2 linked regions of the Lonchura striata genome follow. The protein of the gene in region 1 purifies or fractionates together with the protein of each later gene. This does not show direct contact. Links are inferred from orthologs where the notes say so. Each region holds a gene or a part of one and is shown in the gene's direction. Other genes may lie near its edges.

Evidence for each region.
Region 2: the proteins of HIP1R (region 1) and PICALM fractionate together in Homo sapiens (co-fractionation; 3 studies listed by BioGRID and IntAct, with this or other methods). This does not show direct contact. The link is inferred for Lonchura striata from reciprocal best matches to the Homo sapiens genes HIP1R and PICALM.

What each region holds. Positions count from the first base shown.
Region 1 is NC_134620.1:12,760,611-12,775,562, forward strand, and holds the start of HIP1R (huntingtin-interacting protein 1-related protein), read left to right. Parts: upstream 1-9,442; 5' UTR 9,443-9,564; coding exon 9,565-9,657; intron 9,658-14,549; coding exon 14,550-14,613; intron 14,614-14,952. UniProt on the Homo sapiens protein: Component of clathrin-coated pits and vesicles, that may link the endocytic machinery to the actin cytoskeleton. Binds 3-phosphoinositides (via ENTH domain).
Region 2 is NC_134604.1:34,889,683-34,905,057, forward strand, and holds the start of PICALM (phosphatidylinositol-binding clathrin assembly protein), read left to right. Parts: upstream 1-7,382; 5' UTR 7,383-7,562; coding exon 7,563-7,692; intron 7,693-15,375. UniProt on the Homo sapiens protein: Cytoplasmic adapter protein that plays a critical role in clathrin-mediated endocytosis which is important in processes such as internalization of cell receptors, synaptic transmission or removal of apoptotic cells.

The sequences.
Region 1 (14,952 bases):
CAACGATTTCACAGCTGTTTTTTAGCCAGAGGAGAGGAGCCTTCCAGCTGGTGGTTTGACAAGCACAGTAAATGAACAGCTGTTTAAACCTGCTCACAGTGTTTGCCAGCAAGCTGCCCAGCATCCAAACAGATTAATGTTATGGAATGGAAAGATCTGATGTATGGATGCTTTCATTCTGTGTGGCTTTTGAAACAGAAATATTGTAGTAATTGTTGCTGCAGTGGGGCAGACCTGTTCAGAAACAAGGTGAATGGGCAGCCACTGCAAAAGAATGCTGGATGCTGGCACATTCCCACGTGCCTTAGCTGAGCTTCACTCTCCATGTGGGCTCTCTCTAGTTTCCACTGCCTATAAATCATTGGAAAGACTCCACTCCCCTTCTGTCTACCCTGACCTTCCTTATCAACTCCCCCAGCAGCACCAATGACACACTGCCATCCCTCCAAATCCCTTTTGAGGCTGCATCAGGAAAGCTGCTCTCACTTTTTGTCTTGCCCTATTTGTCTTGTCCTTGAATGAATTTTAAGGGGAAAAGGAACAAATTCAACCTGGGCAGTGCAGCTAGAAGATATCCTCCAGTTAGGGGGGAGCTGTGGGATTTGCTGCTGAGCTCTCCAGTTTTCTTGATGCCCACATTTGGTCCTGGGGCCCTGCTAATTGGAGATGGATTGACTCAGTGCAAATCTCTGACTCTCTGCTCTCCAGCCTCTGCTGACTCGGATTTGGCAGGCAATAAATCCTCACCCCTAAATGGGAGGAAGGCAGGAGCATTGCTTCTGTGAAGGGATTAATGGCAGAGACCAGCACAACATTCCTCCTGGGACTTGGATCTGGATCCTCCAGTTTTCCATCGCTGCTTTCAGAGTGCTGATGATGTAGCTTGTGTTTAGGGAAGGGTGCTGGCACCTCCCTGTCATCCCAGCAAATATTTTTGCCATGAGTTCCTGAGTTCTGGAACAGCCAACAAGGAGGCTGTTAACAGTCAAATGCCTTCCCCAATGGCAGAGGGGATTGTGAAATCCCAGAGTGCAGGAATCATTTCTGTGCTCTGACTTGGTGACTTCATTTATGTTGGGCCAACGTTTGCTGCCTTTGGATTTTTATCTCAATTCTCATTTTACAGATGGTGCATCAGCAGGTACTTGTTGAGTCTGCCTGGGCTGGACTAAACCACCCATTCCTGAGCCACTTCCCTGCCTCAAAATCAAACCTGTGTGTGTTTTCCAGGACAGGCCCTGCTCATCTCCTCACATCCCTGTTCCAGGCTGCTTGTTCCCTCACACCTCCACAGAACCTTTCCTTGTCAGAAACACAGTTGTGAGCTTTTCTCTCTTAAAAGAGCCTGTTTTATCCCAGTGTTTTATGGGAGAAGTGAAATGGGACACAGCAGACACTCATGAGCTGGTAACTCTCATGAGGGCTTTTTCCTAGATTGAATGTCAGTTAAAAATACACCTATTTTTAACAGTCTTGTCAGGTATGGAATGCATTGTCACACCAAAATAAATATCTAAAGAGCATCTACTGAAATGCCATCAATTCAAAAAGGATATTTGTTATAAAATACACATTTTTTTTTCATTATTTGCCAGTCCAGGCAGGGCTAGCAGTCTGCTTCTGTTGTGGTGATGAATATGGTTTGCCCCTACATTTAAAAATAAATAAACTCGAGCCTCTTTGGGAAAGCTCTCCTGTGATCTCTGAACTGAGATGGTGACTGTAAAACACTGTGAAATTCCCTTGAAAGGTACACCTACAAATATTAATTTGCCTAATGGTTGATTAGAACCAGAAAGGGATTTGAGGGTGAGAGGAGAGCGAGTAGCAGAGTATTGGGAAGAGCAAAGTTTTCCCTTTGTGTGCTCCTTGCAAGGTTAAATACACACTCAAGCACATGGTCATGGAGCTGGTTGAGACTGGTTGAATGTCAAACCCTTGTGCTCAGAGGATGAAGCTGATCTAGGGAAGCTGTTAAACATGGCAATGCTCTGAGGAACAGGGTAACCTCCCAGGCTTCTTGGTTTCCTTGGCTCCGGGCCCAAAGTTATTTATGTTGTGCCATGATTTTCCCTTGAAAGTTTAAAAAGGATGGTGATGCTGCTTCTGCCAATGTCTTGATTTTTTTTTTTTAACAGTGAAGAAATCGTGAATCTGAATTCCCTCTGCTTGACTTCTCCTCCCTTGACATCCACTAAGACCAACATGACCCAAAGTTCTGGGAAATTCTCTGATGAAGATTCCCCTCTGGACATCAGTGACCTGGCAGTGACTAAACCAGCAAAGAGATACTGCATGAACACAGTCAGTATCTTATTGCACAGTGTCCTTGACTGATTTTGAGGGGAATTATGAGGAATTAAGACTGATGATAGGAATGCAAATGCCTCCAGGCATGGAAGAACTGGGTACTCAAATGATGAGACAGCAGGCTTATGGCAAAGGTGATAACATGCATTTTTTCAAAATAGCTCCTTGTTGCCGCAGTAGGTCTTGGACAACATAAATATGAGTTTTTTTAAAGTGAATAAGACTTTGGAATGAAAAGCTTGAGGAAAATGGATGCTGGCTAATTGGTAATTCCACTAAATATCTGGGTACACGTGGATGCAGTTATCAGAAGCTATTGGACATTGTTTCTTTCCTGTTCTACTTGGTTTTCCCTCTGTCTCATGACTTTATTCTCTCCTTTTATCCCTTAAGTACTTCTCTTGTGAGTGGTTAATATACCCACATGTGGAAATCTGTTTAAAATGGCATTAGGAAAGAGCTCTGTGTTTATTAGGAACACCAGCAGTTTGAGTCTGTTACTTTGCAGTATTTTGAACAGAAACATTTCAAAATGCTGATTCTTGGTGTGTTATAATTCTTTGAAATCCTCCAAAAAAAAAAAAAAAAAGATCCTTCCATAACTTTGGCTCCTTCTCTGTGTCCTGCAGGGCACCAGTTCCCTGTTCTGGAAGCTGGAGCGCTCGTTGGCCCAGTCCCGACAGATGCTGACTGATCTGGAGCTCAGCCTTCTCCACACAAGCATTCCCAAGACCAACAACATGAGTAAGGTACAGATTGCTCTCCCAGAACAAGGCTGAGGCCTCAGGAATACTGATTGGGAACATCCTTTCCCTTATGCTTGGCTTGCATTGCATTAGCAAAGCGTGAGGAGGATATTGGTTGTGAAGAGACAATTCCTGCTTGCCTTAGTGCTTGAATTTTTTATAGGATTCTGTTTGGCTGCTCAAGGTCATGACAGGATTTGACTCCTGCTTGTGTCTGAACAGATGGAAGGCAGAAGTCATTTTGGGGCAAGCTGCAGGAGGTCTAGAAAAAAGTGAACACTGATCTTTTTTGACTTGAAGCAAATTAGATGATTTCTCAGGCTCAGCACACACTCACTGCTTTGCTGTCCCAGAGACTCGCAGTCAGAACTGGTTTATTATTTTATTCATGGAAAGGAGGGCAGTGTAGGGAATATATAGGATACTTTGGGTGTGAATTTAAACCAGAAACTCAGCTTAAATAAAGGCAGAGTTCTTGTGTGTTAGTAGTTTTAGCTCCTTCATAGCAGGATCAGAGAATATATTCAGTGGTCAAAGAAAAGAACCTGTATGTAGCTGTCATGGCAGTTTATTTTATGAGCACAAGTGCTGATAAAGTTCCTGTTGAGTATTTGGGCAGCACAAGTAATCAGAGAAAGGGTCACTTGTTTAGTGGGTAAATATCCATAAGAATTTCTACCTTGTTTGACAAGGACATTGTACCTTTTGTCCCTAGCAATGAGCACACTTGTACTGGGGTATATCCCAAAGGGAGGATTTAGGCTCCTGGTTTCAGAGCAGTGCTGAACCCTCATCTTCTTCCTCACACATTTCACCTCCCTCTAAAAAGTTGCACTTCTTTTAGCCTTGGATGAACCTGACCAGAACAACGTTGCTGTAAGGAACAGACAAAGCCATTTTTATAACATTCAGAACCATAAACCCTTCGCTATGCTGGGCCTCACTGTAAAGGTTGTGTGCCAGCGTTTGCATAAACTGAAAGGATATTCTGTTCAGAAGTTCCTCTGCAGGATTTCATTCAGTGGCAAAGACAGCAGCAGTTTAGTCTTTTGCAAAGGCTCCTGAGTAGGAGGATTCCTGAAAAGCTCCCTGCACACAGTGCTTGCTTGTGGCTCTTGCCCAGCCCCATCAGCTGTCTGGCTCCTGCTCACTGCTTGGCACGTCACAGCACAGCTCAGCTCCTCCGTCTGCCCATGACTCTGCTTTAGGATCTGATGCTGCATTTTTGAGCTTGGAAATTGGCTTCTCCTTCAGTTTTAGTGGATATAAAATGAAGGAAACTCCTGTGTAGTGGCAGGAGCAAATCCTGAGCCACATTTGTGGAATCTTTGATCTACTTTCAGAGAAGTTCCGGGCAAAAACTCGTCAAGCATGTTTGAGTTAATCTATGTATAACCAGGCCAGCTAACCTGTGCTTAAAACCAGGCTTACCTGGGGCTGTTTTAAACTGAGCTTTAGAACAGAATAAATATGTGATACAGCCCTTAAAATTTAATCAGGGGGAAGTGGTACATGTTGGATTCTGTGCCCTGCTGGGACAGGGAGGAGAAGGGGGAATTAAGAGCTGTACCCCTGCTGCTCACCAGCTTGAACCTGGCAGCTCTGGAAATTTTATTCTCTGAGTCCTTTGATTTCCATGTAGTATTTTTACATTACAATAGAAACAACAGAACTTGCAGGAACTCTTCACAGAAGCCAGTTACCTGCTGCAGAAGAAAGAGATGCTAAGCTTCCTTTTTTTTTCTCTGTGATGTTCCCTGAGCATGGAAGTGTTTTCAGCTTGATCTTTTTTTGTTTGCTTCCCTCTTTATAAATGCATCTGCAATATTAATACACTTTATGGATTTTTGAGATGGGCCTGGCACAGGATTCTAAGTGCATTTCCAATAAAAGTCCTGTGAGTACTGTAACAGCAAACAGATATTAAGTCAGCAAGTAGTTCCTTTAGTCAAACAATTAAACTCTTGTGAAGTGTGTTCCTCATCCTTGGGGCAGTCAGATCTCACAGCTTCATTCCCCAGTACCTGTGCTCTCCTTATTGTAGTTAAAACCCTTCTGTGTGTTACAGATAACAGGATCAAGAATGTGAACATTGCTGAATGAGAGATTGGGAAGTTTTTTCCAGTGCCAAGGCCAAGGGCTGTTTTAGGATACTGTTCTTGGGCTCAGAGCCCCAAAAATAAAATGTATTGAATAGAGCTGTTTCAGAATATCCAAAGCAGCCTTGCCCACTGCAGATTGTTTTTTTTCTTTCTGAGTCAGGAAATTTCTCACTCTCTGATTATTTGTTCTCCTATTGTGGATTGGATGCTTGCAGTAGGCACCACCTTGTCTGGTTCTGAGGACAAAAGAGTAACCAGATATGGTTAAAATCCTGAACAGCACACAAAACTGAATAAGAACCAGCAACAATGAGGAGAAAAACTGGCAAAAAAAGAGAAACCTCTCAGTGCTGACACAGCCCAGGCTCGTGCCTGCAAAGGGAGGTTACCCCAGAGCCAGCTGGGCTGTGACACTGTGTGACTCCAGTTGTGGATCAGCCTCCAGCCCATGGGGAGCTGCTGCTCAGTTCTCTCTTGGGTATTCCAGCTGCAGTCCCTGAGCTGTTTGTGCCCTGGGGAGTCAGGCTGGCTGGCTGCACTCATGTTCTGCTGGTTCTGCATTAAGCCTGGAGTCACTGAGACTCCTCTGTGAGCCCGTGGGGACTGTGGAGTGCAGCTGATGGGGCACCTGGGGGAGATGGATGCTGAGCAGCTCGAGTGCCAAACTTTCCTCTGCTGTAACGTTCCTGTGCACAGAGAACTCTTCCTTTCCTGAAAAGAGCCCTGAGGTAAAAGCAGACAGAGGTTTTATAGGTTGGAGCCAGCACTGTGACTTGCATCCTGAAACCACTGATGTTACAAAGCTTCAGGAGCAAATCCCCAAAAGTGCTGAGCCCCGTGCTGAGGCAGCAGAGTGGGGAGAGCACGCTGAGCCTACAGAAATAATCACATTTGCCTCAAGTGAGAAAGAGCTGGTGGAACAAACATGCCACAATCCACTGCAGATCCATGACAAGAATGAGTGGTTCTCCAAGTCACTGGCTAATACATAATTTTCATTTTCTTTCTGTGTTAAAAAGCAACGAATCACTGTGATCAGTTAGATCTGAAGCAGAGCAGGCTCAGAAATAACCAAACATTTGTGCAGTTTCATATACAGAAGTGATTGAATTGATTTTGGTTGTGTTTGTTTGGTTTTAAATTGCTTTGAAACTCATTTGAGGGCAGGTGCACTGGCAAACATTAGGGCAATTTCCTCCCTAGCTGCCAGTAATTTAGCTATTCTCATCAGTCAGTTGTTTTGCCTCTAAGAGAGAGGTTGGAGGGGTGGGGGGAGTTGAAGAACTCAGGAGGAGAGAAGTTAGGAAAAGGCTATTTTCTTTTTTGGACACAGCAGCATGTGCCAGTGCTCATAAACGGTGACTCAGTGGCTGGCCTGGGGCACAAAGATCACTCCTTTCCTCAAAGCCAACTGGAAAGGTTTTATTTCCCAGCACCCCAGTGGTGGCCCTGAGACTGTTGCCTTTCTGTGAAGTACTTTGTTTACCTTTTCCTCTTTATAGTTTTACTCCATGTTCTTACTCTGTTTGCAGTGTGAAAATTTGTGTAATAAATTCACGTAAGTGTGATTGCTTCAGATATTTCAGAGGAAATGTTCCTGCTTTTTTCATTAAAATCTTTTCCTTTTTCTTCAGAGGAAAAAGTGTTTCCAACACAGAGGTAATACTGAGGACTGAAGATCATTGACCCAGCAGCTACAACAGAAAGTTACCTCATATTTTTCCTGTGGTTCCTCCTGAGTGTTTGAAAGACTCACAAGTGGCAAGAAGATGTGACTCTGCAAGAATGCATTTTATCTTGAAATAAAACACAGAATTACACCAAGATTAACAAAGCTATTTTTACAGCTGAGAGCTCAGGTTAAACACTAGCTTATTTTTTAAGAATCTGAAGTGTGTAATTGTTACAACATAGGAACTATTTTTCTTTTTTTTTTTTTATGGTGGCTCAGAAATATTTATAGACTATGACACAGCCAAGCAATCTCCTTTTTTTTTTTTAGCACATTGTTTTTGTTCTGGATTTCTTGCCTTGTAGAGAGAGATGAATAATGTTTATAGGAAGTTCCTAATTAGTGTTGTAAGCAGGAACTGCCTCCGATGTTGCTGAAATGGGAGAACTGTCACCCTCAAGGTGGGCAGAACATCTTTCCACACTCAGGAGCTGGTTTTCCAACAAAAGTCTATGGGATCAGGTGTGTATGGCCTCTGTTTGCACTGTAGAGGTAGCCAAGTATGATGTAACCTTTTTTTAGCATTTAAACTGGATTTATGTTTGCTGATTGGGCAAGATGTGCTGTTATCACAATTTGAACTTCTTTTTTAATGTAGAGATCAAATAATCTGATAAAGGTGATACTTTGCTGTGTCTCTCTTGCCCATTTAACACATTTAGCACTTGATTTCTGACATTTCTCAGCAGACATGAGTGGGCTGCCCAGTCCTGTGTAGATTTGGGAGCACTTTGGGACACCAGTGCCCCTCCCACAGCCCTGTGCCAGCATTTTTCCTGCTGGGGGGAGCCAAGGGTGGGAGTTTCTGCTCCATCCAGTGCCACCAATTATTGCTGAGAAACACAACATTCCGTGGAGTCTCCTTGTTAACTCTTTCATTTCATTTTCTGCTTTCTCTTTAATTACTCCAGTGACAGCCTTTCCTGCAGGTATTAATGGCCCTAGAATTAGGTGGCCAGTTCTGATGAGAGCTGCTGTTCTCCAGACTCTTTCCCTGCCTGCTCACCAGCATTACCCACAGAGGGAAGCTCAGCTGCTCCAGCTCTTTCCAAGTTTCCTCAAGCCTTTACAGTGCATTTATTCCTCTACCTGCATAGAACCTTCTCAGGCTCCATCCTCGCAATCTCCTGCTGTGGGTATGACAAGAATTCCCCCTAAAAAGCCAGTGATGACAATGCCATGATGCTCACCCTGAAGCTGTCCAGCAGCTACACAGAGAAATTGGTGCAACTTCCAAGCAGCAGCTGCATTTAAATGGTTTTGAGGTTATTGGATCAACTCACTGAGTTTAAACCCCTGGAGAGTTTAAAATGATGACTTTAAGATCAATATAGAAAACTGAGCTCAAGCGATGCATCAAGGATCTGCAGAGCCTTAGGATTTTGTGTCGGGGCTGCCCTGGATTTGTAGAATGGGAAGAAGGGGAATAACTGTTAATTTATTCAGCACTAAGTGACTTAAAGCCCAACTACATTATTGACCACACTCTGGTGCTCAAATGGAAACGCTTCAAACTCGGTGCCTTAATTCTGGAAGCAGCTCAAATACTCCAGGGAGCCCTTTGCTATTGTATCCTTGGTTTGAATTATTATTTAAAGACAACAAAGCTCCTGTTCAGCCACGGCCTTTCCGCAGGGTGGGTGCGAGCTCCGGTCATTGACTTTGGTAACGGGAATCGGTGCTGGAGCTCCGGTGCGAGTGCAGTGGGAGAGGGGTGAAATGGGCGCTGAGAAGGGACGGTCGCGCTGGCGGTGACCGCTGTTCCTGGTGCTTCCTGAGCTGGGCAAGCACCTCGGTGCCTGGTGCCTCGGGGGGCTGCTAAGGGACGTGTCCCTCGCTCCGTGTCCCCTCTCCGTGTTCGTGTCCCCTCCCCGTGTCCCCTCTCTGCCCGTGTCCCCTCTCCGTGTCCGTGTCCCCTCCCCGTGTCTCCTCTCTGTCCGTGTCCCCTCCCCGTGTCCCCTCTCCGTGTCCGTGTCCCTTCCCCGTGTCTGCTCTCCGTGTCCCCTCTCTGTCCGTGTCCCCTCTCCGTGTCCGTGTCCCTTCCCCGTGTCTGCTCTCCGTGTCCCCTCTCTGTCCGTGTCCCCTCTCCGTGTCCGTGTCCCTTCCCCGTGTCTGCTCTCCGTGTCCCCTCTCTGTCCGTGTCCCCTCTCCGTGTCCCCTCTCCGTGTCCCCTCCCCGTGTCCCCTCTCTGCCCGTGTCCCCTCTCTGTGTCCGTGTCCCCTCTCTGTCCGTGTCCCCTCTCCGTGTCCCTTCCCCGTGTCCGTGTCCCCTCCCCGTGTCCCCTCTCTGTCCGTGTCCCCTCCCCGTGTCCGTGTCCCCTCCCCGTGTCCGTGTCCCCTCCCCGTGTCCGTGTCCCCTCTCTGTCCGTGTCCCCTCCCCGTGTCCCCTCTCCGTGTCCTCTCTCTGTCCGTGTCTCCTCTCTCTGCCCGTGTCCCCTCTCTGCCCGTGTCCCCCCGGGGCTCTCGGTCCCACCTGCCCGCGGGGGGAGCGGCGCTGCAGTTCCGAGCGTGGCCGCTGGGGGCGCGGCGGCGCGCGGCGCAGTGCGCGGCCGGGAGGGGCGGGGGCGGGCGGCGCCGGTCGCTCCTGCCCGGAGCGCGGAGCCCCGAGCGCGGGCACCGGAGCCTGGATACCGGAGCCTGGCTACCGGAGCGGGGAGCTCCCAGCGCGGCCCACCATGAACAGCATCAAGAGCGTGCCGGCGCGGGTGCTGAGCCGCCGCGGCGGGCACAGCCTGGAGGCGGAGCGGGAACAGTTCGACAAGAGCCAGGCAAGGACAGCGGGAGGGGGCGGCGGGGCCGCGGGACCGGCCGCGGTTACGGTCCCGGTTTTAGTCCCGGTCCTGTTCCCGGCTCGGGGACGGGGCAGGCCGGCCCTTTCCGCGGGGCATCGCGTCGGGGCGCGCTGAGCGCGGGGGTTTCTCGGGCGATGGGATGAGACGGGATGGGGGGCGCAGGTCCCGGCCGCGCTCCGGGGAAGCCCCGGTGGGGCAGCGGGGCCGCCGCACCTCTGCCCGTCCCCGTGTCCGCCCGTCCGTCCCCGGTGCCGCCGCCGCGCGCTCCCCCTCCCCCACCTGCGCCGCCGCTTCCTCCCGGCGCGGCCGCGGGACGGTCCCGCGTGGGCACCCGCCCGTCCCGCCGCCCCGCGCCCGTCCCCGGGCCGCGGCCCCGCCGTGCGCCGCCGCTCCCGCGGGCAGCCGGGCCCCGCGCACCCCGCGCCTCCCGGGCCTTACCGCAGGTCAACACGGCCGGCAGCACACGGGGAAAGTTTTGCGGTGCTGGCGGCAGCGCGGCCGAGCCCGGGGACTCCGCGGCAGCCCCGCGCCCCGGGAATGGGCATCTCCGCATCCCTGCCTAGCCCCGGCCCCACCGGCACCGGGGGATGTTTCGCACCGGAGTTGGATCCACCCCTACCCCGCGGCTCCGGGTCACCCGCGGGTCACCCTGCGGGGATCGGGGTGTTTGGACCCACGGACGGTGGCAGAGTGGAAACAAAGCCCAAAGGCGTTCGTGCTCCATCGTGTCCGGCTTGGCGGGGGTGTCCGTGCTCCTGTAGACCCCACGGGGTGGGCAATGCTCGGGCACTGATGGGGCCGGCATATGGCTGGGGGGAAACGAACTACTCAGACAGCGTGGGCAGGGATGGGCAGAGGGATGGACAGAGTGACGGGCTCGCTGCTGCCCCAGCAAAAATAACAGTGCCCTGCCGCATGCCTCCTCTGACCCCTCTGCTTTTGCAGGCTGTGCATTCATCGCAGATGTTTTCCCCTCTGCCCCTTTGCTTTGCGGTTCCTTCCTCAGGCCCTGGGCTGGTTTGGCCCCGGAGAGCGCCAGTGAAGGCAGGTGGGAATTTCAGGCCTCGCAGGGTCACGGTGCTGGGTAGGAAACGGAGCTTTTGCCGTGTCTGGGGAGCAACACGAGAAAACCGGCAATTCCGGTTCCCTCTGGACGCGTCTCCTTCAGTCGGCCCGCTGGGCACCGCTGGTGAACGCTGCCCCGTGCCCAGCACGAACGGGGCCCCGCTCCCCCCGGCCTTCCAGGGCACTTGGGGCTTTTCACTGGGATTTGTGCTCTGGAGATCCGCGCAGTCACAGGGATGCTGTGAGCGGAGATGTGGACACGGAAAAGAGGTGGTTGCTCGCTGGCTGATGGTCACATTCCCTGCCCAGAACTGCTAAAAACTGTCCTAAAGGAGCTTTATCCTGGTGTGGTTTCCTGTAGTGGTGCTTCGGTGAGAGCAGAACTGTTCAGTGTCAGAACGTGGGTATTGATCTGCCTTTTACCTCTAATTATAGCAGCTGCCCAGTTGGCCGCCAGTCACCTCTGTGTCACGGGGGTGCTGGTGGCATGTCCCCTCCTTGTCTCTGTGTCACGGGGGTGCTGGTGGCACGTCCCCTCCTTGTCTCTGTGTCACGGGGGTGCTGGTGGCACGTCCCCTCCTTGTCTCTGTGTCACAGGGGTGCTGCTGGCACGTCACCTCCTTGTCTCTGTGTCACAGGGGTGCTGCTGGCACATCCCCTCTGTTGCCTGAGGATTCTGTACCAGAGTCCAGAGCCCCATCACCTTTTCCCCTGTGAGGGCTCAGGTGATGTCTGTGGTTACAGACAGGAGTTGCTGGCCCTGCTGTGATCCCAGGTCCTTGTGGGTGACGTGAAGGTCACCTGCTTTCCCTGAAAATGCTTTTCCATATTTTGTGTCAGGGTGATTTAATGTTCCCCTCGGAGAAGCCGTGCATGGGAAGTAGGAAATCATCCCACAGCAGGCGCTTGCTCGGCAGCCTTGCAGGAGGAAAAACTTGCCCGTTTTTGCTTTTCTTAAAGAAAAAGGTTAAAAATCCAATGAGCTCTGGAACCTGCAGGATTGCATTGTGTGTGACTGCCAAGTGGTGTTTTCCTGGTGTAATTTGGAAAGGAGCAGCATTAGGAAGGGAACTCTGGAGTTCATAGCTCAGCTGTTCTGACAGCTCTCGGACTGCCTGGCCAGGGAGGTTTCCAGCTGCCAAATAATCCCGTGCTGGAACCCGGCATCCACTGCCCGGAGGGGATTGGGCCCCGGTGGGATGCCGGGGCTCTGGGGAGCCGTGGGCGGGAGGATCAGCCCTAATTAAAAGCAGCCAGGAATGAAAGGGTGGATGTTAAACTGCGCTCCTTCATTTGGGCGCTTTGATCCCGGCTTTAGTCAGCGGCTTGGTACGTGCGGGCTGTGAGCAAAGCTGGGGCTGCAGCCCTGTGGGATCCCACAGCCCACGGCCCGGCAGGTTTTGGGCTTGGCTCCTCACCCAGTTGGCCTGCCAGTGGTGGGGAACAGTCCACAGGTTGCATCAAAGTTTTGGCCAGGCTGATTGTGCACCTGCAGTGACAGCCAGGACCTGCCCATCTCCGGACGTGCCAGCGGTGTCCCAAGAGGTTGGGTCAAGGGTGAATCTCCCCGTTTTGGAGCCATCCTCCACAGCCTGGCTTTGCCAGACAGCCAGCAGGAGCATCCTGTCAGCACACGTGTGCCAGGCTGCAGCATTGCCCCATGCTGGTGCCACCAATCCCATTTTCCTGGATCTCCTGGCAAGCTTGATGCTTGGAGGCAGGGAAAGCACACGTGGGCTGCCCAGAGGGACTGGCATTGGTTTGGTGCCACCATGGTTTTTTTGGGACCATGCTGGACCCATGCTTGTGGTGGTGCTGTGGGTGGGCTGGGGCTGACCCTGCATGTCCATGTGCTGGACATGAAATGGCTCAATGAAACTTCTGCACTGAATCCCCAAGGATGAAACCAACCTCTCCAGCAGCTCCTGGGCTGAATTTTGGCTGGTCAGGCTATCAGTGAGACTAAGGGCAGTAAATGCAATAAAACCACCACTGCCACTGGGAATTACAGCTCTGTTCTGGGACAGACCAGCAGGGTCTCAGCTCAATGAGCAGCTGAGGTCCTGTCCCTGGAGATAGGGGACAACATTTCCTTTCCTGGGGGTCTGCCCATCTCACACTTTGACCCTTCTGGCTGCGCCTCCTCCAACCCCCGTGGGGTTCAGGTTCCATGGATGGGTTGGGATGAGCGTGATGGGCTGGGACAGGCCTGTCTTAGGGCAGGCAGTAAAACTTCCAGTTTGGGAGGTGTGTCTGCCCTTCTCCCTCTATGCAAAACACCTCAGGAAAGATGCTGTAACTCCTTCAGCAGCTCTTCACTATAAATGCATTTCCAAATCCTTCCTTGCCTGGTCCAGGATAAACCATCCTTTCTGTCAGCATCCCGTGGGAGGTGCTGGCATCCCTGAGGACCTGTGGCACATCTCTCTGGCCAAGCTGCCATCGAGGGCACAGCCTCTGCCAGCTCCAGGCTTTTGGGTGGCTGTGAGGGCACTTTTGGAGAGGCAGCTGTGCTGCAAGTGCCTGTTCCTGGGCACTCCAGGCTCGTTAACCTTTGGGGATAAGAGGATTACAGCAAGTCACCGGCTTAACTCCACTGCTGCTTTACGGCCCCACATGGCGGGGTAACACCGGGACTCTCCTGGTGCAGGAAAGGCAAAGCAGCTGGACTCAGCCTTTTGGGACAGGTTCACTCTTTGGGAACATTCAGAGTTTTGCTGCTGTCATGGTCAGTTTGTGGGTAAGCTGTTCTGGACTCTTTTGGGGTGAGTTTGGTGCATGGACACCTTTGACGTTGTCTCTTCGGTGTTGGGTTCCTCCTGCATAAGTCAGGAGCACTCGATAACTCGGGGTCAGGTTCCTCCTCCTACAGGAAAGCACTTCCATTTCAGAGGTGTCCCTGGACAAGCAGCCTTGTGGAAGCAGGTGCTTTCCTGGGCAGGTAGATAGGATTTTTATGAGGTTTTAGGGCTGTGGAGCTGCAGGGAGGGACCGAGTTGCTCTTCCAGCACAAGTGCTGCCAGCGAGGCGCCTTCCTGCCTTCCCAGCTGGGACCTTTTTCCTCTGCTGGTGACAGAGGGCTCATGGACACAGGCACAGCCCAAGCACTCCTGCGAGGGTGAAGCAGCTCAGCTGAGTCTGAGGAGGAGGAAAAAGATCCTCATCAAATACAGCAACTTGGATTTGCAGCCCATCAACACGTGGGGGATGCAACCGACCCCACTCTGGGGTCATCTTCTGGAATAAATTCCTAATTTAAAGTCTGCTGTGATCAAACACATCAAAACATAGATAATCCTCTTCTGATAATCACATTGCTCTGGATTTTTGCTCCATCAAGATGGGCATTGAGGCTGCCACTCCCTTCTTGCTTGGGGGCTGCTTTTCCCCATGTGCTGTTTGCACACAGCAACATCCTCAGAAGAACCCAAACCACTCCCCCGTGGTTCAAAGGCTCCTTGTGATTACACAAACAACCCTGGAATTTGGCATCTCACTATTGTGCTTTAATGTTCCCCAGGCACGGCGCTGAGTTCAGGCTGCAAAAATGCAAAAATTGGTTTCCTGGGACAGGGACAGCCGGGAGCACCAACAGCAGTGGTCAGATCCTGCTGGGGATGGGGGCTTTAATGGATGTTTTGTTTGTGGATAAAAAGGCCTATTCTGATGTGTTAAAAATGACTTTGAGGTGACAAATGTGTTCTAAAATTCAGGGTATTCCCCAGGATCATTAGCATGTCAGGGTGTGGGGTAGCCATGAGGATCACACCGTGTCTGACAGCCACTCTCCCCTCCTCTTGCAGGCCATCAGCATCAGCAAAGCCATAAACACACAGGAAGCACCAGTGAAGGAGAAACATGCCCGCCGTATCCTTTTCCTTGGCTCCCAGGACAGCACAGAGGAGTTTGGGATTTGGGGGTGTCACCCCTGATGCTGGAGCCACAGGAGATTTGGGAGACAAAGATCCGTGCTGGGGGCTGGCATCACGGAAGTTCATCCATCAGTGAAAAGGCAGACGAGCAGTGCAATAAAATTGCATTTCTTTGGCAGTAAAATGCAGAGAGCCCCATTGTGCCCTCAGCAGGGGGAGGTGCACCCAAAAATGACAACTGGGGGTTTTGTTTGGGGGTGCAGCGCTGTGCCGGTGATCCCTGTGCTCATGGGGCACCCAGCGTCCCCTTTTCAGTGAAAGCTGAACAGGAACA
Region 2 (15,375 bases), on another chromosome or scaffold:
TTTGAATTGAGAAAATCCCAGTGCAATTTGAGAGACTGTAATACTTTCTTTTGGATCATTACTCCTTCTTTACTCCTCTGGTAGCAAGAACTGCCAACATGTCTGGATTTCCATTGAAAAGGGATGCTGTATGAAAGGCAAAGGTAGGCTTAATTGATTACTGAAAGCCCATGGAAGTGGTACAAAGAGAAGAAGCGGGAAGGTGAATGCATCAGAAACACAAATCTTCTACTACCCTTTATTCCTGCCTTCAGAAAAAAAGTGACCATTAAAAACTGTGGTGATTTTGTGATCCATAGAAAGCGAGTTTGTTGGCCTGCAGCCAGTTGCCAGTGAAGAGATCCACATCAAACAGCTTTCAACACAGTGGGTGACTTATGATCTGAAGTCACAGAAGTTTGTTGCCAGATTCACTTGTAGCTTTAAACCAATACAGATTTATTGGGAGGTTACCAAGGAAATTTTACCCTTCTTGTAACCCCTCTCCCACTCCACTGGTGTAGTGCTAGCAATTCCCTTGTTCCCGGAGGGGATAACATCTCATCCCCTTTCTGGCCCCTCAACACTAGCCACAAGCAGTGGGGAGTTGTAGAGAAAGCACAGCGTGAGTCAGGACTGTGAGTATGCATTCTTCTGCATTTGGCCCTCCACTGTGGGATCTCCTCAAGGCCATTGAGTTGTCAGAAAGGTGGGTGCCTGACATAGAGTTGTGAAGGGAGTGCTATGTCCCTGATATTAACATCTGACCTGCATCTGTCCCTGGTTTCAGTGGAGAAGACAAGCAAAATCCAATCACTTCTAGACAAGGTTTGTGGTGGAAGCATGTCATCAAGACACTGTGCCACTGCTACTAAGAAAGTATTGCCTTTTGAGTTCTAAGTAATACAACTAGGAAACACAGGATGACAAGAAGGCGAGACCATTCATTCTGATATTACTCACAGTTCTTTGCTTCTCAGATCCTGAAAAAGAAAGCAATTTTAAATTGCCATTAACTTATTTTTTATGCATTTCCTTAATTTTACTAAATAGAAAGCACTTTCATTTTTGTACTTGTGTGTACTGGAATGAATTAGGACAAATCCTTTATGGATTTTTAGATTTAGAATAGCTTATACACCATCAGAATGTTAGGAGGAATTTATTTAGTGTTCTTTTCAGTGCAGTAGTTTGATTTAATCAGCATGAAGTCTTGCCCACATGTAAATGCAGTCACTGACCCCTGAAGCACAGAGCCAAACACCGATAGCCTGACTCACTCCAGTGGGCAAGATTCAGATTTCACATAAAGACCAGAGAGTAGAACTATCCATACAGAGCTTGAAATCAACTCATTGGCATAAATGGATTTATTTGCTTCAGGAAGAAAACCAGGATTTACTTTTACTGCACAGACCTGATAATGAGAATACTTTTCATATGTAGGCTTTCTTCTGGGTGAGAAGTCCCATTCAAGTCAGCATTGGCAAGCCCCAGCTATTTACTCTCTATAGTTGGCATTGCCAGCATCAACATTTTTGTTTCAGCTCCACATCAAAATTCATGTGGGTGTAAAGCTTTCCCAGACACAGAGCATGAGCACATGATCCTCAACATTAATGAGGGTATTGATTAAGCTCTGCTGCACATATATGTGCTAAAGACTGTGAGTCTAAGCACCAATTTTAGCTTGGCAGCAATGGCTGTTCCACTGATACACTGCCAGTCAGTTTGCTTATATCTTTCCTTAAAAATATTCCTTTGGGCTGGAGTGTGCTCTGCTTGCTTTTGGCTCAAAGGTGACTGAAGGAAATGATAGGGGCTGCTTCCAAGTTACAGGAGCCCAAAAGGAATGCAGTTCCTCCTGTACTTGCCCTGCTGTCTTGGTGTTTGTGAACTGGCAGGGGAGTGAAATGAATGACAGTGCCCTCTCAAAGGTGCCCAGAGAAGGATTCTTATCAAATGCTGTCTCCTGCCAAGTCTCACAAACACTGCCAGCCTGCAATGATGGGGAGGAGCATTTGGCAACAAGGCCCTAGGCTTTCGACATCAAACTAGGAAGAAGGGATGAAGTGTCACTAGCAGGGATGGGGCCACTTTTTTTTCCTGTATGACAGATGGCCCACAGAAATTTTGGGGAAGTGTATAGGTGCACTTACCATGCTGGTGAAGCTGTGTTGTAAGGTTTGCTTTTCCTTATTCAGTATCTGATTGAGCTACTGTGAGAGTTCCCATTGCCAAGAAAGGATGTGTAAAAAACCACAGTAGGAAAGAGCAGCAGCAGGAGTGCATTAAGAATGTTTGCTGATGGGCAGTGCATGGCAGGTGGAGAAGACAGTAGGCCTCTTGTTCTTCAGAGGTGTCAGTGTTTGACACACCCACTGGGAAGTGTGAACAAAATGTAAGTAAGCTTGTTTCCTTTCTCTCTCACACTCAAAGACATTTACTATGTGCATTTGTCAGCCAAGTAGGAATCCTGCTTATACCCTAAATGACACAATCAATCTTGCAGTGTGCAAGTTTCATCTCAGGACAAGGAGAGAAAAGTGTTAGAACACACAAGAGGATTCGGAAGCATCATATTTGTTGTCCACGTCTACTTAGATACTCTCATGAAGCCTGGGAGCTCCTACACAGATATCCTGCTCCTAAGTGAATAAAATTAGTTCTATTGCTCCCCTCCTGTGCAATGGCACTGACTTATTTTTGTCCCTTCCTATGTGTTTTTCTCATGTCAAAATTACATTAGCTTTTGGACAGCTGCTTTCTTTATTGACAAAGTCAGCTTCTTTTCAGGGAACAGCACTGCAAGGGACATTGACTACTAGATAACTGGAGCTGCATGAGAAGGTAACACAAGCTGCAGAGCTTAGAATACTGTGTATGAGGAAGGAAATTGGATATTTGCCTTACAGAGAGAGGCACAAAATAGGAATGTAAAAGGAACAAAAGAAACATGAAAGCTGTCACTATTTCCAGAAAGAGGGAAGAAAATTGGGAAAGAGGTCTCTCATTCACTATGGACTTGAGGAAGTTGTCTTTGCAAGGAGTGAGTTGGAATAGATGTGAGGATAGTGTGGAGCTTGAAGAAACACAGGTGATACAAGAGGAATGCAGAGCAGGAAATGAATGTTCCTGTTTCAGTGGGGAAATTCTGGATAGACTTAGGGTGGGTAATTGGATGAACAAGAGTGATGTATTTGAAACAGGAATTAACATGAAATAATGATCATTAGGAAAGGAAGGAGCTGGATACAAGCGAAGCAAAAGGAAAACCTGTGAAGAAGCACATTTGGAGTAGTGAAGAGGTATATCACTTTAATAAGTATCCTAATTACACTGTGATTCATTACTATTTTGAAATATTCCAGATTGCAGTGATCAGTGATCTGGTTGCCTCATTTCCTTCTAGCCAAGCAATGTGGACACCTTGCCTATCTCTGTTGGCTTCTGGTCTTGTTGGCAGCATGAATAAGTAACAGGAACCATACTCCTGGAATACTTAATTTCATTGTGCCACTAACAAGTGTTATTTTAACCATAATTTTTCTTTTTTCTATTCTACTTTTCTCTATCTTCTTAGAGGCATTACTGGAAAAAGTTCATTATTGTCTATAAAATTATTTTATTAAGTTGCTATGGTGATACAATTGATATTGAATTCTTACTATAGTCACAGAAAACCAACATTGGGTAAATCTTTGCCGAACTCTTTGAACATGGTTTTGAAATTAATACATTGGAGTTAAACTGGCACAGTTCTACTAGGCTGGGCAAAATCAGGCTACTCAAAAAGTGCATCACTAACTGTAGATTTCTGCATATATTCAGGGAGTGGCCTGGTTCTAGCTGTGCAGCTGCTCTGGAGTTCTCTGTTGCCAGAGGTGCACAAGCAATGGACCGTATAGTGGCCACAGACATGGACAAATGTCATAGAGAGCTACACTGGGGGAGCTGGTGTTTTCTATTTCCTGCAGTCTATTCTACATCTTATGTCTACTCAAACAGATGCTGAGTTCCTGGAGCGGACATCAAAACCACCTTCCCTGAAACCTGGGGAAAATACTATAACCCTTAAGAGCAAATGAAACCGCAGTGATCCTTTAAATAGGTCATGTGGAACATCTGGATTGTAACTTATTTCCAAATAATTTATACAACAGTGATAGGGCATTTCCCAACCTTACATAGGTGGCTTTGCTACCTTTGCTTTTCCACCCCATTGCCTCCTTGCTCCATCACATTTCCCTTCAGTTGTTCCATCTCTATTTCAAACTTATTCTTTCTTTTCAACTTTTCTTCACTAGACCCCTTAGCTTCCCAAATTATGGTTGATAGGGTTTTTTTGTTGTTGTTAGCAGATATGGCCTCAAATCCTTGGTAATGAGTCTGCAACAGTTTATCAGCATATGTTCAGCTTTGTTCCTCACTAGTTTTCTGGCTCAGATGGGCTGATTTCTAATAGACCTGAAATTCAGCCAAAACACCTGGCTTAGATCTGAAGCTAATTAGCAGTGCCCCCAAACCATGGATCTCCTAGTAGTGCTTCCATGAAGCAAGGAGGAAGAGCATGGCTGCCAGCAGCACTGGGAACACCAAATCACCCTGGTGGAATGCAGGCATTACAGTGTGACAGGCACCTCACCGAGTGGAAATGACATTGTTGCAAGAAAATGATATACATAATAAATTACAGAGGTCATGCTGAGGCTAGGTTTTCAGTACTATACAATACACATGGGAAGAAAAATATCTGATAGCTTGTTTGTCCTTCCAGGATAGCTGAATATCAGCTAAATACCATCAATATCGGAGAGCTTGTGAATGCATGATACAGCATTTTCACAAGAGTTAGATCCAGATTCTGGAAGAACTTTTCACAAGAGAAAAGAATGTTGTTTAGGTTTACTGCTTCACTAAACATAGGACTCCTGTGTCTGGAGTAGTTTCTCTTTAGATATGTACTCCTTCTCCTTCCTCTTTTCATTCTCAAGCACACCCAGGCACACAAACAAAAACAAATGAGTTATAAGCTAATCAAACTTGTTTTCTCCAGGTTGGAAAGGAAAAGAGATAATATTTTGATTTCAATTTCCAAATCTTTGGGAGGTGCTCAGATATTATCTATCATAGTGCTTCAAGCTTCTTGCTGCAATGGCATTGTCTCCCAAGCAATTAAAAACCAACAAATAATTATCAAAATACATTTTGCTATCAGTTCTTTCATCCATTTCTGCTTATGCACAAGCAGAATTTTTAACTGTGGAGTAAAACTGTGAGTTTTCTGTGAACAAGAACAGCTGTAAAAAAGGCAAAATTTATTTTTAGTTTTGGACCTTTAAGATCGAGGTCACTTTTTGTTCCCTTAGGAATCAGATATTTTGTCCAAATCTGGTCTCAGTAACTCCTAGAGTCACAAGCTTCCTCTGTTTGGATAGTTTCACTGCTCTTGGAGAAAGTGACAGGCATCATCTAAGAACAACTTGATGGAGCCTAACTTACTCAGGCCAATTCAATGGAATTTCTCCAGATAGCAGCTTGAAATGGAATGTTGAAATCCAGGCCCTAGCTGAAGTTAGTATTAAAAATACCAATGTGTGTTGCTCTATCAGTAGCCTATAGCAGCCCCTGTGCTTCCACAGTGTGAAGCTTTATGCTAAAGCTGTCTTAAGCCAGAGTCTGCTGCTGTATACATCAGTGATTTATTTCTCCAGCATGGATGTCCCCATGTCCTCAGCATGGGAGTCCTAAAGCAGGTCAGGAGGAGCCAAGAAGTGCAAATACAATATCCTCAAAGACCTTGGCATTATAAAGAAAGCAAATTCTACATCTTGCTAGCCTTCCTTACACACACACAAGTGGCACTATTTGGGTTCAGCTTTCACCAGATGTTCTTCTTCTGACACCAATTTTCCTTATACATTATAAACAGATAATCCTACTTACACATCCTGTCAGGCAGACAGAGCTGAGTGTCATTTGTATACTCCTTCTCTTTAAACTGCCCAATAAATATTTCAGTGGCTGCATGGATGGGGGACACTTACAAGACAGCTTCTCAGGAGTCTCTTCTGGGAGAGGAAGAACTTTGTGGAATCCTGTGCTATTCACTGCTGTGTGTTTGGGGAGGAGGAGAAGAGTCCTGCTGCAAGGGGCAATGGAGGGCGCAGATAGCTGGAGGCTGGGGCGGCGCTTGGGCAGCGGGAGCTAAGGATGCCCAGCAGCCGCTCCTCACCGTCTGTCGCTGGGATACGCGTAGCCGGGTTTGCAGCTGTAGGTACCAGGCTGCGAGAAGGCACCTTAAGGAAGTTTCTGATTTTTATGAACAAAACCCAAGTAACTTCGCACAAATCCCAGGCTGCCAAGGGCAGAGCCACCGAGTAAGTTCAAGAAGCTGGCTAGCAGAACAGTGGGAGGCAAATCGCGAAAGATCTGAAAACCTCCAGTATTTTTATCCTAGCCATGATGTGCATTCGAGAAGTTTTTGGGGAGCTTACAAATAAAAACAACTCCGAAGAGAAGCCCGATCGCAGCAACCAGCCGGCCCCGAAACCTTGGCTGCCTAAGAACAGATTATTTTTTTCCCTTTGAGCTTTCCCTAGCCTTAGGTGACACCAAAGGAGCTTCCACAAAACCTTTGCAGGCTGAGAAATACAAAATTACTTCCTTCAGGGGCGGAGACACCCCCCACTCCCCCACTCGCTCCACGGGGACTTTACCCGGCTCTGAACCCGAACAGGGGCGCACCGAATCTCCCGAGCGGAGATCCCAGAGGCACGGGAGTCTCCGCAGAGGGAAGGGCGGCCAGGGGCTGAGTGGGCGGCCAGGGGTGAGGAGGCTGCCCAGGGGCTGAGGAGGCTGCCCGGGGCTGAGGAGGCTGCCCGGGGCTGAGGGGGCTGCCCGGGGGTGAGGGGGCTGCCCGGGGGTGAGGGGGCTGCCCGGGGCTGAGGGGGCTGCCCGGGGGTGAGGAGGCTGCCCAGGGGCTGAGGAGGCTGCCCGGGGCTGAGGAGGCTGCCCGGGGGTGAGGGGGCTGCCCGGGGGTGAGGAGGCTGCCCAGGGGCTGAGGGGGCTGCCAAGGGGCTGAGGGGGCTGCCCGGGGGTGAGGGGGCTGCCCGGGGCTGAGGGGGCTGCCCGGGGGCGCCGCGGGAAGCGCTCCCTGCCTGAGGAGCGGCTCCCGCCCCCTGCGCGCTCCCGCGGCGCTGAGGGGGGCGGCGCGTGCCGCGCGGGCGGGGCGGCGGGCGGTCACGTGACGCGGGAGAGGCCCGGCAAGGCCCGAGGAGGAGCTCGGCCGCCGCCATTTTCCTGCGGCGCCCAGTGCGTGTCCCTGGCCCCGGCCGGGCGGGCGCGCAGGGGGAGGGGACGGCGGCCGGGGGAGGGGGGCGGGAGGAGGAGGAGGAGGAGGAGGAGGAGGAGGGGTCCCTGCTCGGGTGACAGGTCCGTCCCTGAGGGCGGAGCGGGGGCCGCCTGCGGCACGGCGGGGTGAGGAGCCCGCGCAGCTCCATCCCCCCGGCGACTCCTCCCGTCCCGGCCCCTGAGGAGGGAGCGGAGCCGCGCTCGGTTCCAGCGCCGCCAGCGAACCCGCCATGTCCGGCCAAAGCCTCACCGACCGCATCACGGCGGCGCAGCACAGCGTGACCGGCTCGGCCGTCTCGAAAACCGTGTGCAAGGCCACGACCCACGAGGTGATGGGCCCCAAGAAGAAGCACCTGGACTGTGAGTACCGGCGGCAGCGGCGGCCTGAGGGATCTCCCCGAGCGTCCCGCCGAGGAGCGGGATTGCCCGGCCTGCCCCGGGGTCCGCTGTGGGGCTGCTGCCCATCCCACCGGCCTCGTGGGGACGGGAAGCCTCCTCAGGCGGAGGAGCTCGGGGTTTCAGCATAGGGCATAGCCTGAGGGCGGGGGCGTAGGGTCGGGGACGTGGCGATGGAGAGCTTGGGAGAGGCTGTTCAGTATATCTGCTCTCCAAAAGGGGCCTTGCCAGTCTTCTTTATGCATAGAGTCCCGGACAACGTGAGCTCCTGAAGGACAGGACCTGCCCCATACCCCTTTCTTAGGGGGAGAGAGAGAACCACGGAGGCCAGGCAGAGGAATGGGCTGCAATTTCCTCACTAATTGGTCTCATTTGCGTCGTGCTAGGGCAGCACTCCCCCATTCTCTAGAGGAGGTGCAGGAGTTTCAGGAAGGAATAGCTCATCAGTTATCTTAATTATTTTCCAGGTAATCTACCAGGAGGGAAAAAAAAAAAAAAAAAAAACAACCTTCTTTAACAATCATGTAAATCTTCCATGGAGAAAAATATGTGAAACGACTGAGGGGAAAATCTCTCTGTGAGGATGTTCTTAGTCTTCTTTTTAGTCTGTCTCATTCACTTGGGAAGATGAATCTAAGGGGACTTCTTTAGAACTTCAGTAAAGCTGGATCCAATAGTCTTAGCATACCATACAGGGTCTAGCCATTTTTCAGCTTCTATTAAGAACAGATCAAAGGTGGAAAGGCTCAAAAGGTTTTCTATCACCTGTGATTATGAAGAGAATGATGAGCATCAAAGTTCACACTAGCGTTTCTTCCACTAAGCTGTGAAGTTGCAGGACTGAGGAAGTTATTGGTCTGAAAATCTGATTGTCTTGCATCTGTTTATTCTAGGCCTTTTAAGGATGGCCCCCTCTGCCCCCTCCCTTTCACTTTCCCAAATACATATTAAAGATATTGGTGAGATCTGTGTGTCTATGCCTTCTATATGTGTGCTTGCTCCCTTCCTCACACCCACGTCTGCAGGAGAAGGTTGAGTCTTCATGTGTCTTGAGTTTGTGCCTCCTGAATTGTTCTGTATCCAAATGAAAACACCAGATGATAGTAGTAGGATTAATTGTACTGTGGTTCTTTCTTCTTTCCACCAAAATGTGTGCATGTTAAAGGTTTAAGAAATTCTTGTTCTGCAAGTACCTGGGAGCAAAGTAATTAATTTTTTACGGTAGCCTCAGAATTCATTTTTTAGCTGCCTCTCTCTTTTTTGGTATTCCCTCATTCATTACATCTTTTGGTGGAAGATGATAGTAACTGAGTGGTCTTGTTAGATTTGGTTAACTAAGGGAGTCAGAACACTGAGGAAATCTTTGGGCTTTGAGTAACTTCTTGGCAGGTAGAGAAAACACCTTGTCATATGGCGTATGTATGAAATCGTGATGTTACTGGATTTCACACACAAGTGAGGCTTTCTAGAAAACAAACTTTGCCAGGTTTAGCCTGTAGTTGTGCTAAAAGTACAGTTTCAATACTAAGGCTTTTAGGAGCTGAATTATTTTGTGGTATAAGCTTTGTTGAAAAGAATATGAAGATGGTCAGAAAACTGCTCTTCCGGTGGGGATGTGTGTGTGTGTAAAAGGGTGATATTCTGAACAGGGCTGCTGGGAGACAACCTAATGGAGACCTCCAGGGTGCTGCTGCAGAAGAGTGCCTGGACTTCCTTAGAAAGCTATCTGGTAGTTGCTGGATAAGAAGAGCAATTCTGTGTTTCCTTTTTCTACTCCAGACTGTCAGGAGTCTGTTAGTTTCTGCCTCTCTCTGAGAATATTTATCAAAGCCAAGCAAACTTGATTTTTTAAGTAGTCCCTCTTTTTAGTGGCTAAAATAGATCATGGCTAGATGTTTTGTACCCTAATATGTTTGTTAAAAGTCTCTGTTCTGGCATCAGGAAATGACACACAGTCTTGTATTTTGAACTTTTTCTTTGTTCATACCCTTTATGGTTGTATGCTTTAAAATAAATATTTTTTACACAAGCTGTGACTCAAGCCCCACTTCTCAACTGTTTGTACATATCTTCCTTTCACAACAAACAGTTTAACTTGGTAAGGCCTATGAAGTGACGGCTCATTGTAAATTACAATTAATATACCTGTCTTCATAGGCAACATGCTGCCTTAATATTTTTCTGATTATTGCTTATTGTGATAATACAGGTAAACTTGCTATAGGTTGTGTCCTGGTGAGTGGATAAGTTGAGTTTTCCCATACTGCATTAGTTTTGTAGCATGTTCTGTGACCATGACATACATTCTTGTTAGTTGATTTCTTGTACAGATCTCAAGATTTCCGAGTCCTCTTACTGACATTCTTTCTTCATTAGGCTTGAGCTATCACAAACAGATTTAACTAGCTCAGCCTCAAGTTAACTCATAAAAATGGAGGGAAGTCTGACATAGGAATATAAGTTCATGAGTATCTGTTCTTATTTATCTTGCTCCTGATAGTGTGTGGAGTTTGAAGTGCTCTCCATCCTAGATTACCTCTCTTTTGCTCAGCGATGGTTATCTTTATCAAGGAAGTTAAAAAGGAATTTTTTTCCTTAGCTCATGGTGGTTAAAATGTAATATACTTCAAAGAATGTTTTCTCTCCCATTACAAAGCTTAGTTGTTTGGTTTGAGGGAGAAAGACTTCTAATTTACAAGTGGATATGGCTTGTGATAGGTAGTAACATCATCAAGGCTATATACTTGAATCCATGATACTGTTTTTTTCTTCAGTTTTGAAGGTCCAGCCTTAGAACTTAGAGCTGGGATAAGAATTCTGTTTGGTAGTCTGAATGCTGCTTTTGTTGTGATGGATTACTTGTTTTACAGAAATCAAGTTTAGTAGTCTTGGAACCCTCGAAGAATAGTTCATTAATTTCTTTTATGGAAAACCTAGTTTCACTAGGACTTTGTCCCAGTTTTTACACCTATCTTAGCAGTGGGAGCTCTAAACTGCTTTGTGGTTTTAACTTGTATGTGGAGATTGGTACAACCCTTTCTTTCTCGTTAGTTTTTTTGTCCTCACATTGAGTGTTGGATAGTGATGCTAAGAACAAGTGCTTTAGGTTGTTCGAGTATAAATGGTTCTGGGAGACTTGTTGCTAGATTTCACTCCTTCTTTTCATGATTCTGAGAGGATGGTGTGCTTGTGTTTGTGTGGTGGATAATTAATATTAGGAATACCTGAAGTTAATGCCTAGTAAATTTCACTGGGTTGGTTTTGTGAAGCTGTTGTAGCAGCGATTGCTCAGTAGCTTAAAAATGTTTGTGTACATGTGTGTGTTGTGGAGTGGACTTAAAACAGCTTTGTTGTGATAGACATTTAGGGTTGGCCTCTTCAATGAGTGTGGCATAGTAGCCCTATCTGCTTGTAGCTAATGGAGTAGCCCTCTTTAAATGAGAATGTGGACGGATGACTTGGAAGGAAGTTGTGATGCTGTAATTACCCATTCTGAACAGGAAATATCTCTATAATTAAGCCAGAGTGTAATTTCCTTGATTTCTTATTGTGAAAGAAAATGTGTATTTTTAAGGAAGACAGTAAGCCAGAACCCTGCCCTGTGTTGGGTAGGTGTCTGTGAGAAGCTGTGTAAGTGAAAGTAAACTTGAAGGAGCTTGTTGGGAACTTGATTCCTAATACACTAATGTTAGCTGCTTTGGTTTTGTCTAGAGGCTACTACTAGGATAGAGAAAGGCCCAGCTAAAGACTTGCTCCATGTCTGTGCTGAGGACAGGTTCTGTTTCAAGCTGAGATGGTATAAAGAGGGTAACTTGTAGAACTGAGGGACAAGGATCATTGCTTTTCCCTGGATCACCCGAGATTTGTAGAAAAGCTGGGAAAACCACCATTGTAATGGTTCACTTGCCTTTACATGCTGAAGTGTAACTGGGTGATGAGGTGAATTAACTCCTAGTTCTGTGGATACTTTTGTGTTCTCCAGTAGAAACAGAAACACATTCCTTTTATGGTATTTTTGTGCTTCAACAAACTCATGTTTTGTCTCTGGTTTTGGCAGAATCACCTGAAGTTTCTTGCAGCTTTGCTTCCCTTTCTGTAATTGACTTAAATTTCTGGAGGCAATCCATTATTATTTTTGCTTAGAAATATTCTTTGTAACTGTAATTATTTCAAATACAGATAATTGCATTATTGCAACTTTCTTTTGAAGTATTCAGTTTTCTCTCTGAGTCTTTTCTCTGATTCCTTCATAGTTTCTTTCTTTAGCCAACTTTCTTATTTTTTACTGGAATTCCTTTGGAATATTTGCTCATGGCTTTTAGTAGAGTATGAGAACTATCATACTCCTCCTGTCTGCCAGAGGGACAATTTTCTACTACAGCTGCTCATTTGCAGAAAGACTAGCTATGTAGTTGTGCAGCTGTTGTTTTATTTTACTTAGCCTGAAGCAATATTCTGCTTCAGATGAAGTAAGAGGCAGGAGCTAAGGAGGAGAAGCTGTAGGACACCTGCAATCAGCTTCCTGTGAATCTTCATACCACTATTGTTTCCCAGTAGCAGTGATTATTCAGGTCTCATGTAACTTTGGGCTATAGCCCTAGTTGAGATTTTTTTTTAACGATATTTTTTTTTTAATGGTGCTGTCGTCTCTTGCATTTACGAAAAGGGACGCTTAGGAGAAGCACAGACATGGAGCAAGTCTTTTGCAGTTCACCCTGTGACCTAATGATCTATTTCAGTCTTCAGTTCCTAATCTTAAAAACAGTTTTTGATTTGTAGATGTGAAAGTTTTAATTTGTCCCTAATGACTTGTCTCACAAAGTAATGGTAATTTGCATAATAATACAAGAGATGACTTATCCAATATGGAATTTAAAGCTTCCTGACTTTTGCATTTGTTGCCTTATGTAAAGTACATGATTTGTTGATGATGGTAGAATTCTGGGAAAGTTCACTTAGAAAACGTTACTGATGTCTCACTCCTTCTGGAAAATGCAACATTATTTCTGAAGCTGAGACTCCTTTTGTATTTGAAAGCTTGATTTATTAAACAGCTTTCTTAAATTGAAATTTCTAACTACTTTTAAAACAATTCCAGTCAAAACATCTCGCACATCAATTAATGCTTTAAAAATAACACATAGTAGCTTTACTGCTGGTGGGATATGTCCACTTCTTTGTAAACTGAAGTAGCTGTTTCTCAAGCATGAGACTAGAAATCAGGTAAGAATTGTAAACGACTTGTGTATAAAGTGTTGAAGCCCTCTACTGGGGCAATCGTTTAATATTTTCACGTAGTTTGCAATACAAGTTTAAAGCAATGGTCTTAAGTATGTGTTCTTTTGAGTAGTTTAGCAAACTCTTCTGCTGCAAACATTGCCTTGTGTTCATGAGTATATGAATTTAACCATTTAGATTTTCTGTGGGTGAAAGTATTAACTCTGGGAGTACTTTCAATTTGGAGCTTAATGTTATCTTGCAAAGACTTGGGTATGAGAGATTTTATTACTGATTGTATCTGCAGCTGATTAAAAGTAACCAACAAGTAAGTAACAAAAAAGAATGCAATCAAGTGGAAAGAAGCTTGTGTTGCTATAAAATTATCTGGCTTGGTGTTTTCCTTGCTCTTCTGGCCATTTTCTCCATTATGAAGTATGATCATGAGTGGGCAGATTATGAACGCTTAGTAACTTCAAAGTGACTGTATCCTTCAAAACTTGAAGAAATATTGTTCTACTTTGTATTTCACCCCTAGTTTATATCAGAGCTTTATCAATTGGCTGGTAGTTTCTAAACTTAAAAATAATTTTAGTAAATTCAGTGCTACAGTCTGGTAGTCACAAATCTCTTAATGGTAAATCCAAGTTATGAGTAATATGTCACAAATTGGGTTTTGGGATTTTAGAAATTAGGAACTAAGCTGTATTTAACTGTGAAAATAACTTAATGAAGCTAAGCATTTCATACAGATTTAGCAAATACACTGGATTCTCTGATTGTGACTAAAAAATCTCCTGTGCTATTTTGCTAAAGGAGCTTTATTAAAGTAATGCTTATCTGGATAATTTGCAATATTATACAAGGGTAAATCAGGCTTTTATAAGTATTACCTCAGAAGAGATGGTGTAAATGAACAAGATCTACATCAAAATTTGACTTGGGCAAGTTAATTCACAGAGTGAAGCATAAGAGAATTTACTGGAGTGAACAGTGGTAGCATAAAGAAAAATCTTGAGATTTTTGTGCAGGTCATGACATAAGTAGTCTAAATTAAAATAAATTTTAAAACCTCCCAAAGTAGGGATTATACTCATTCTGAGCTCTCCTATGTACTTTCATTCATACCGATGTTAATTTATTCAGTTCTCCTCATCAACTCCTTTTTTCCTTTTCTCCTGAAGAGACACTTTTGAAATCTTTACTTGCTGTCCTTTATTGCTTCTTCCCAAGCAAGCAGACCTTCAGTCACAACATTCGTATGCTCCAGCAGCGGTGCCATTCTAGCAGGAGCAATCCTTTCACTGATGTGGGAAGTGAGAAGTTTGCATGGGTTGAAACTGCTCTGGTATTTCACATATTTACTCTAAATATGGTGCTTGCAGTAGCTCAGCTATTCCATTTGCTGGCTGTGTGTTATGACATCAACAAAGTGCCTGTATTGTTTGTAACCTTTCTTGATTTTTTTTTTCCTACTCAGTGACACTATTCTAGATCTGACCTTATTTTTTATGTGAAGTGTAAAACCTTGTTTGAACTGTTGTGATGGTTAAGTCTACATACAGAGAATAGTGGTGTTATTTGATCATGTTTAATTCTGTCCCCTTTTCGATTTGCATAAAGACATTGGTGTTTACATCAACCCAGAAATGAAGAATTGCTTTGGGAACCACAACTGCATGAGGCTGCAATACATAATCAAGTAAATACTCCTAACAGATTGATTTTTTTGAATAGTTAATTTATTAAAATTTAAAGCACAAAATGTGAATCCTTAATAACACTGTTTCCTAGTTAAATAATTAGTGTAGAAAAAATTTTCCGTGTTAACAACTTGTAGAAAAGGACATTCTTTTATCCATTTACAAAAAGGTGATAATGAGGTTCATATCATTCCTTAATTACTTTTGTTCCAAAAAAAAAGAAAAATAAACCCAACAAAACTAAACCAACCCACTGGTATTCATCTGCACAGTGTAAGTTTCTGAAGTTGCCATAGTCAGCTAGATTTCTGACTCAAAGTGTGTAGCATGCAATTTTTTAAATTAAACTCAGTCTACAAAGATATAGACAGAGGTCAGCATGCTTTAAATACATTTTTTTTATTAAAAAAAAAAGTCTTTGCCTTCACCTGGTAGTAAATCTACTCAGAGCAGCTCTGGTTGTCTGTGACTTGTTACTCTGTCTGCTAGATGAGAAGGTTGAATGTCTTGGCTATCAAAAGGTAGATATTGGTGTCTTCATGTTCCTTGGTGTTCTTAAGAGCTGCTTGTAGCTGCTGTTGGTAGTGTTTGGGCTTTTCTGGGGTGGATGCTGACCTCTAAAGTGACCTGAAGTGTTTCTGTACCTCTCTTTTGCTGTTCAAGTGTGCACTTATAGTCTTGGGTTTAGTATTGTTATGTAGCATGTCCCTCTCTTCCCCACTTCCTC